2 linked regions of the Ovis aries genome follow. The protein of the gene in region 2 binds, or shares a complex with, the protein of the main gene of each other region. Links are inferred from orthologs where the notes say so. Each region holds a gene or a part of one and is shown on either strand. Other genes may lie near its edges. The genes, in order: NIFK and MKI67.

What was found.
Region 1: the proteins of MKI67 (region 2) and NIFK are in contact, whole or in part, in an NMR structure (PDB 2AFF), measured with the Homo sapiens proteins. The link is inferred for Ovis aries from reciprocal best matches to the Homo sapiens genes MKI67 and NIFK. Residues at the interface, in NP_002408.3 of Homo sapiens: Thr9, Ile10, Lys11, Arg12, Ser13, Pro18, His19, Phe20, Pro21, Ser23, Leu24, Arg31, Gly32, Ile33, Glu34, Cys35, Asp36, Ile37, Arg38, Ile39, Gln40, Leu41, Pro42, Val43, Val44, Ser45, Lys46, Thr66, Asn67, Ile91; in NP_115766.3 of Homo sapiens: Val228, Asp229, Ser230, Gln231, Gly232, Pro233, Thr234, Pro235, Val236, Cys237, Phe241, Leu242, Arg245, Gln248, Val249, Leu252, Asp256, Lys257, Asp259, Glu260, Ile261, Val262, Phe263, Lys264, Gln265, Pro266, Ile267.

What each region holds. Positions count from the first base shown.
Region 1 is NC_056055.1:186,964,538-186,968,346, reverse strand, and holds the end of NIFK (MKI67 FHA domain-interacting nucleolar phosphoprotein), read left to right. Parts: intron 1-99; coding exon 100-208; intron 209-1,834; coding exon 1,835-2,046; intron 2,047-2,569; coding exon 2,570-2,638; intron 2,639-2,761; coding exon 2,762-2,830; intron 2,831-3,100; coding exon 3,101-3,289; 3' UTR 3,290-3,657; downstream 3,658-3,809.
Region 2 is NC_056075.1:47,020,954-47,025,204, reverse strand, and holds the start of MKI67 (proliferation marker protein Ki-67), read left to right. Parts: upstream 1-1,366; 5' UTR 1,367-1,683; intron 1,684-2,077; 5' UTR 2,078-2,157; coding exon 2,158-2,249; intron 2,250-4,251. UniProt on the Homo sapiens protein: Protein that associates with the surface of mitotic chromosomes and acts both as a chromosome repellent during early mitosis and chromosome attractant during late mitosis.

The sequences.
Region 1 (3,809 bases), on a different chromosome or scaffold from region 2:
CAGACACAGCTAATGTACATTATTTAATGACATTTTAGGAGTTTGATGGCACATTAGAATGTAATTGTTCTGCTTTTTGTGGTGGATTTGTCATTGCAGACTGGAAATAGCAAAGGCTACGGCTTTGTGGAGTTTGAATCTGAAGATGTTGCCAAAATAGCTGCTGAAACAATGAACAACTACCTTTTTGGTGAAAGACTCTTGAAGTGTAAGTACCCAATTCTTAGCCTGTGGGATTTCAGGGATGCTCCTGCTGACAGTGGCTGTGGTGGGAGGTTGCTTAGCTGTTCGGACGTCCCACCTCATCCCTGGGATGAGTCTCCTAAGCAGTGGTGCAACAATTTAAGTACATTTTCAAGATAGATTTGAACTGGAATTTTAAGATTTCCAGAGTGAGAGCTGTTTTCTGCTGAGACGGAGTTGGAACAGTTTCCTTGAGGAGTAAATAGGAAGGGCTTCCTGGTGGGGTATGGGAGGCTTCCCTGAGGAAGAGTCATTAAAGTTGGAACCTGAAGGTTAAATAACCGCCAGGTGAAGGGGTGGAACTGAGAATTTGGTGGGGGCACAGCAAACGCCAAACCAGTGACAAACGTAATTGCTTGCAAGGAGCATAGCGAGAGATGAGGGAGGAGAAATAGACGAGTGAGGTCAGGTTACCGGAAGCCATGTAAAGCACAGTTTAGAATACATGCCGAGGACAGCGGAAACCACTAATGGTCCTGGACAGAATGATGTTCAGGGTGAGGAGTCACGTGTCAGCCAGTCTTCGTGGCCTTGGCTGCAGCTCCTCTGCAGAGAAACCATCGGAAGGGCAAGGGTGACAGTAGCAGACGTTCATCCTGCAGGAGGTGGAGCTCCCACCTACCCGCCTCCCCAGAGCAGCCCATCCGGAGCCAGCACCCAGGTCACACCTCTTCATCTTAGTTCCTATTGCTGTGAGAGGGGTCAGGAGCCCCCTGAGATCCTGGGTGTTATTTGCACATGAAAAATGTGGCTCTTGCCAGGACGAAGTGGGTGATTGGGTGACCACATGTATGAGATCCCTGCTGTGCTCCACCTGACTTCTGAAGGATGGCACAAACAGTTCCGAACTCTGATACGAGGTGTTAGCCACATCCCCACCTTTTTTTTTTTTTTTCAGGGGAGTAGTTTGTCTTGGAGGTGATCCCGGGGAAATACTTGTAAGGAGTGGAGATTTGACAGGGAGGAAGGAAGTCAGTAAAGGGTATGTTAGCAAGCAGGTTATTTAGGCATTTGGGCCCCTTCCTGCTGGCCACCTTGGGAAACAGAATTATCCCAGCTGACAAGCATAGAAACTGGGATATTTGTGTACCATATATCACTGGTGGAGGGTAGATCCTAGGGATTTTGGCTTCCCTGCATAAGGGGCCCAGTATGCATCCCTAAGCAGAGAGATACAGATAAGCAGTGAGCTGCCTTAGTCCTGGGCAGGTGCCTGGAGGATATGAGCTGGAAGGTAAGAGCTTCTGCTGTCATGAGTCACGCAGTCTAAGAGTGGGAGTCCTTTTAGCTTCAGGAACCCTAAGACTTAATTTCCACACTCTCCTCTGTGCACTCGTCTTGTTCACTCGTGTATCTCTAGTCCTGGAGTCGTCGTTGGCACACAGTGAGTGAGTGGTAGATAATTGTGGGCTGTCTGACTTGCCCTTGGGGACCTGCTTTATTCTTTCAGGCTGCTCCATGTAAGTGGGGGACACATCAATTTGATTATGCTACAAGTGACACAAGGTGACACGGGACAGTCTGAAGTTCTCATTAAAAGCCTTTCCCTCCTACTCGGTTGAGAACTTTCTTTTTCTTTTTTTAATTGTAGGCCATGTTATACCACCTGAAAAGGTACATGAAGAACTTTTTAGAGAGTGGCATATGCCATTTAAAAGGCCATCATATCCAGCAGTGAAACGGTACAATCAGGATCGGTCACTTGTTCAAAAGCTACGGATGGAGGAGCGGTTTAAAAAGAAGGAAAAATTACTCAGAAAGAGATTGGCTAAAAAGGGGATTGATTATGATTTCCCTTCATTGGTGAGTATTCCTTTGTATAAAATGTCTAACCCAGTATCTCCCCCTACGAGGTTTTGACTGGTTTTTTGAAACTGCAGTCATTGTAGGCTTGTCTTTGTAGGTTTGTCAAGCTGTCCTAGTATTTCCTGTTACACTACACGGGGAGGAAATCCTGAAAGGGATTAAACCAATTTGCAACACGTACCTGATTTAGCAGTTTTAGATGATTGAATCAGTGAAACCTTACTTGACCGAAAACCATAATGCTTATAGATTACTAATAAAGGTGTCATTGCCAGGATTAAATGTTTGGTTTATTGTATGTTACCAGTAAATACCAAGACTGTAAAGTGACCATCCTTTTTATGCCATTTTAGTTAAAATTTTGTTTCATGGTCCTTTTAAATTGGAAATAGTCCTAAAAGTCTATGTCAGAATTAACTAATAAGTATATGTATAATAATCTAATGGTAAGTTTTAAAATATACATAAGTGAGACAGCTAGTTTTACAGCTTCTTTTTCTATTACTTTATGCTTGTTTAGGTTAAGGTATTACATAAAAATGAGGAAAATGCTTCAAACACTGGTCCTCGAAATTCCAGAAAGCACCAGGTAAAACTTTCGCTTATCATATTACCCACTTGATATTAGAGAAAGAGAAATGGGGAAGTCCATCCAGGACTACTGTGTCTAGTCAACACGCAGATTGATGTAGTCTCTTAAAATTTATTGAAGGCTTTACGTAAGAAGAAGAAAGCCGCTTCAGTCACTCCTAAGACTCCTGAGAAGGCTGTGGATAGCCAGGTAAGATTGTCTTCAGTATTCTGGGGATCCGGTATTACAGTTTAAAGGAGGACAGGCAGTTGCTGCTACTGTCACTTTGCTTGCTCAGTCTTGTGACGAAGTGTGATAAGCACCTAAGCGCTTGATCATGTGCAGCTATATCATCAAATGATGGAAACAGGCCTAAAATAATACGCGTAACTTACAAAAAAATAGAGGAGAGGTAGTGGGAGAGGGTCATTCCTAATATCTTCCCACATTTATATGTTATAATCTTTCACTTGAATCCAGGGTCCCACACCAGTTTGTACACCAACATTTTTGGAGAAACGAAAATCTGAAGTGGCTAAAATGAATGATGATGATAAAGATAATGAAATAGTTTTCAAACATCCTGTATCTGGTGTAAAAGAAGAAACACAGGAGACTCAACCACCTGCAAGTTCAAAGAAAAAAAGACGAAGAAAACACAATCAGTGATTTTTTTTTTTAATGTATTGTGTATAGTTCTTCTGAAAAGATGATTTTATTATGAAGACTAATTCTGTATATTTAAGTAGATATAGTGGAATGTAACCAGTAACAAGCTAGTTGGGAAAAAACTGTCAGTTCAAGTCACTGAGGAAAGCAGTGATTCTGGCTTCCCTGCCCTCGCTGAGATGCACACCAGTTTACAGCAGCTGGGCTCCCACTGCCTCTTGTCCTGCCTCTAGTTTTCTTAGCGGTTTTCACAGCTGCTTTTAGTTACTCTGCCTGGAGAGAAGATCACTATTAACTGCCGATTTAAGCACTAAACTGTAACTTTGTTGTTACCATCAAATAAAGAAAATCTTGCTTGACCATCAAAATAGTTCTCTGTTAGACCAAGCACATTTAACCCATCAAATGGCTGAAACTAGAAGTTGGATTCTATGGGGAATGAGGAGGTGTCAGTACTAATAGAGATTCATTTATGTATATACAATCATTTTTACCAATGTTAAATTAGTTTGTGGTGGGC
Region 2 (4,251 bases):
AAAAACCACTGAGGACCACTAAGCCCTTTTGTTTATACAGGCTATTAATACTTTTTTTTTTTTTTACTTAATACTTAAATAAAGTTTCGTTTATCAATTCATTTTAAAGCAGTGATGATCCCGTTTCATTTTCACATAGAAACACCTTTTTTTTAAAAAAAAAAACAACCTCTATTATTAAAAATTAGTGAAAGACTAGCATTATTGTATGTTTTTGCAAATCTCCGTGATACTGATTTAGTTTAAAAAAAAAGGCAAAAAAAGCCCACACACATACCCAAAAAACAACCAGCTGGATTCTCTCTTCTGCTTCTGCACCAGGGAAATGCCATCCTCCACATATAAGAAATGGCAGTGAAAAGGGCAAGGACTGTCTGTTATTACAAAAGTGGGTTTCCCTTTGCAAGGATCTCAGACCCGAGGGCTCCCAGATCAAGCTGTGAGAACAGCAGTTCCCGATCAAGGAAAACCAAGCTCCAAGGGTGAGCGTCCCCGGTTCCCTTCACAGCGTGATGGCCCGCGGCATCTCCTTTGGCCCGTCCGGTCACGCACATGGAGGAATCCCGTGGTTAATTATTTTACAGTTCATCCATTTTGTAGTGCATAAGGTTTACTCATTGAAAATTCTTCCTAACAGGAAAACACAGTAAATCTTAGAAAACCTAAATTAATGACAGTCAATAGCAAAGATTAAGAAAATTACGATTTCAAAGCCAAATACTTTATAGCCACCAAAAAGAAAGTAAAGAGGAAGACGTTGTCTACATCTTTATAAAGCAGTGAGTATAAGTACGGAGAAAAAGTGTATTTTACGATATTCCTCATGCCTTTTTAAAAACAAAAAAAGAGAATCGTGTGTATTACTGGGAAAAGACACAAAAGATGGCTTGTAACAATTGGTCATCTTTAGGGAAATAGAGGAACTTAAAAAAAAAACTGTAAACCTACCAGCAACGAGTAACATACTATGTACCATTGTTAACTGTGTTTGACCCTTAGAGAAAAGGAGGCAAGGTTTTCGCGGAGGTGGGACCCTGCTGCATTTCAGCAGGGTCTGCGCTGTAAGGGTGGAGGACCCTTAACGAGGTCGCCTTCCGCGAAGGCACGCGAACCAAGCCCGTCCGCCCAGCCCCGCGGAGCCCGCCCCCGCGGAGCCCGCCCCCGCGGAGCCCGCCCCGCCCTGCGCAGCCCTAACCCTGCCCCAGCCTCGCCCCTCCATTCCCATTGGTCTGTGTCTGAGCCGGGAGGCCGCCCCCGCCCCGCGCAGCCCTAACCCTCTCGTTTGCCCGCCCCTCCACTCCCATTGGTCTGTCTCTACGCCACTGCGCCCAATCGCTGCGCTTAGCGCCAAATTTGAATCGATGTTATCATTTGAATCGAGAGGGCGCCGCGGCGGCTTTTCGCGCCCGAGCCGCTACCGCCGGGCGCCTCCGGGACGTGGCTGGGCTGGGCCATCCGGCCGCCTGCGAGGACGAGGGGCGAGGGCGGGGGGTGGAGCGGGGACCGCAGCCGCGGCGGAGGTGGGCGCGAGTCTGCGGGCTGAGGCCCGGTCGGTCCCTGCGGCGCGGGCCGGGAGGCGGACGCAGGTGGACTGGTCCCCTGCTCCTCCCGGGGCCGACGCGAGGTGCGCGCCGCGGGGTGGTGGATCGATCCCCTGGCGTCGGCGCTGGAGACTCATCCCGGGTGAGCCGCGGCCAGGGCCCTTCGGGGTGCGGGGGCAGCTGGCGGGGCCCCGGGGGGGCCGCGTGGACCACTCGGGACTCTGCGGGCACAGGCGCCCTGGGCCGGGCCCTGCTCGTTCTCAGCGCTCGCGTGGAGTCTCGGCGGGAACCTCCCCGGGAGCCGCGACCCTGGTGGGCGCCGTCCTGGCCGCAGGTCTGTGAGGGGGGCACCGAGTTGTGGGGGGACAGCCCGGGACCAGCCTGGGGCTTCCACAGCGGTCAGTATAAAGTGTGGGTCGGGGCGGCCGGGGCATTGGTGAAGCGACCCCCTTGGTCACTTACAAGTGCCTTCTTAGCGCTTTGCTTTAGGGTAACCTCCGGCTCCCCACGTGTTTTATTTTTGTTATTTCCTTCAGTGACCTGTAAGTCCGCTTCAGCAAACGTTTTGATGTCTGACCTTCCCGTCGGGGATTATACTCAAATTCTTGTTTAGAAAATGGGTCCTACAAGACGCCTGGTTACCATCAAAAGGAGCGGGGTGGATGGTCCTCACTTTCCGCTGAGCCTCCGCACCTGCGTGTTTGGAAGGTGAGCCCTGCCCTTGCGCGGACAATTGACATAATTTGGCTTTAAAACCCCCTCAGTGTTACTAACCACAGGTTGACAGATGGGACGCTCAGCTCCAGGAGTAGAGGAGCCCTTGGGTTTGCTCAGGATTGCCTATGTACTGTCAATGTGACTGGCTGACTCATGTGAAATAGAATTTTGAGGATGATGTTTATATAATTGTGTGTGTGTTTAATCAAAGATTTAAAAATTGGTTTGATAAAAATCTATAATTGGAGAAAAATGTAAAGGATTCTCAAATCCTGCTTGACTTCAGGCAGGCTTTCGAAGGCCGCTGTGCTCATCTGAAAACTCTCTGAACTGAGCATTCCTTGGCTGCTGGGGGTTACTATTGAACAAATAAGGAAGGGATCTGTGTTGGCTTGTTGGTCTTTCTGGGAAAAAAGCGGGAATGGGAAGAAGAGTCTTTCCGATTGTGTTTTGAGAACTTTTCTTTGGGTGCCTTCCTGTGTTGTTGGTGGCAGTAACTGTGGTCCGTGTATAAACAGGAACTGTTAATCATACCCAGCTCTCGTCTTCTAAAAGTGATGGGTAAGTTACCCTCCCTGTAGAACCCTGTGTGGTGGAACCCTGCCCCCCTCCCACCCACACTCCATCCTCCTACCAGTCATCCTGCACCCACGTTCCACCACAGGGCAAACTCTGGCTCACCTTGGTGCTGTTAGCCAGTTGGCGCTTCTGTCTCTGGGGTTTGCTCTCTACCCTCCTACATGAGCGATTCATGTACCCTGAGAAGAAGACTTCACTGAGCACTGCTCTTTTTCTTCCTAACCCGCACGTGGTAATGAGGCTGCAGTTTGTCCGTTTCACTCCTAAGGTCCCAAGAGCAGAAACTGTCTTGTTAATAATTATGTAGCTGGTGTCTGGTATGGGGTCTGGTGTATCAGAGGTGGTTACTGTCTGGCACGCCAACAATTGTCCTGTTGAAACATCAGCTGGAGAATCGGGTTTGGAGTCAGTATGTAGCAGTGGTTGTCAGCTGAGAGCCATATGACCCCCAGGAGATACCTGGCAAAGTCTGGAGACATTTTTTCATGTCACGATGTGGGAGCCCCACATCACCGACGTCAGGGAGCAGAGGTCAGTTTTGCTGCCAGTCCTACCATGTACAGGACGGCTGCCCCTACAAAGAGCTGTCTGGCTGGGATGTCAGGGGCCGAGGTGGAGAACCACTGCTCTGTAGTGATTCTCGCTGGCAGTCTCCTGCCTAACATTCTCATTTCTAATGAGATAATCTTTCTCTCATTCCTCAAAATCAAAATCTTTTCATTGACTTAGAGTAGCTGTTCACTTTCCATAACTTCTACTCTCTTCAGAAGGAAAAGACAAAACAAAAAATTTCAGTATCAAATGGCAGGCATTCTTTCATTACTGTAGTGATTAAGTGTCTTTTTATGCAAGATTATTTAATCTAGAAACCCATTTGTAGTGTTTGATTGTGTGACACGGGGAGGAAGGGCTACACTAAGGCTCCAGAGGTTCCTGTTGAGAACAGAGGAGTCACGGTCTGTTCAAACATGTTAAACCTAGGATGGTACCAGGGGCACCAGAGGCCCAGGGAGCCTTGCTAAGGCATCTTCGACCAGCTTCTCAGTGGTCTGGGGATTTCTCTCCTGCGGTGCTTGCTGCTGATGTCAGCTTCCTGTGAAAAGACAGGTTGCATCTAGATAACTGGTTTTTGTTGCTTGTGTTTAGTGTCTGGAGTGAGAGGAGACTTGTGACTTTGTCAGTTAATAGTGCAGTTTTAAAACAATCAAAAGGTCACAAGTTGTGAGCATTTACTGCGTGCCCAGCAAGTGACAGACCTGGGTAACTCATTTAATTGTGTGCACAGCACCATGATGTCGGTGCCAATGGAGTCCGCTTGGTATATGAAGAAACTGAGGCACAGAGAGGTCCTAACATGAAATACAGCACTTTTGGAGATGATTAAACCTTTAAACATACATAGCATTACCAACAA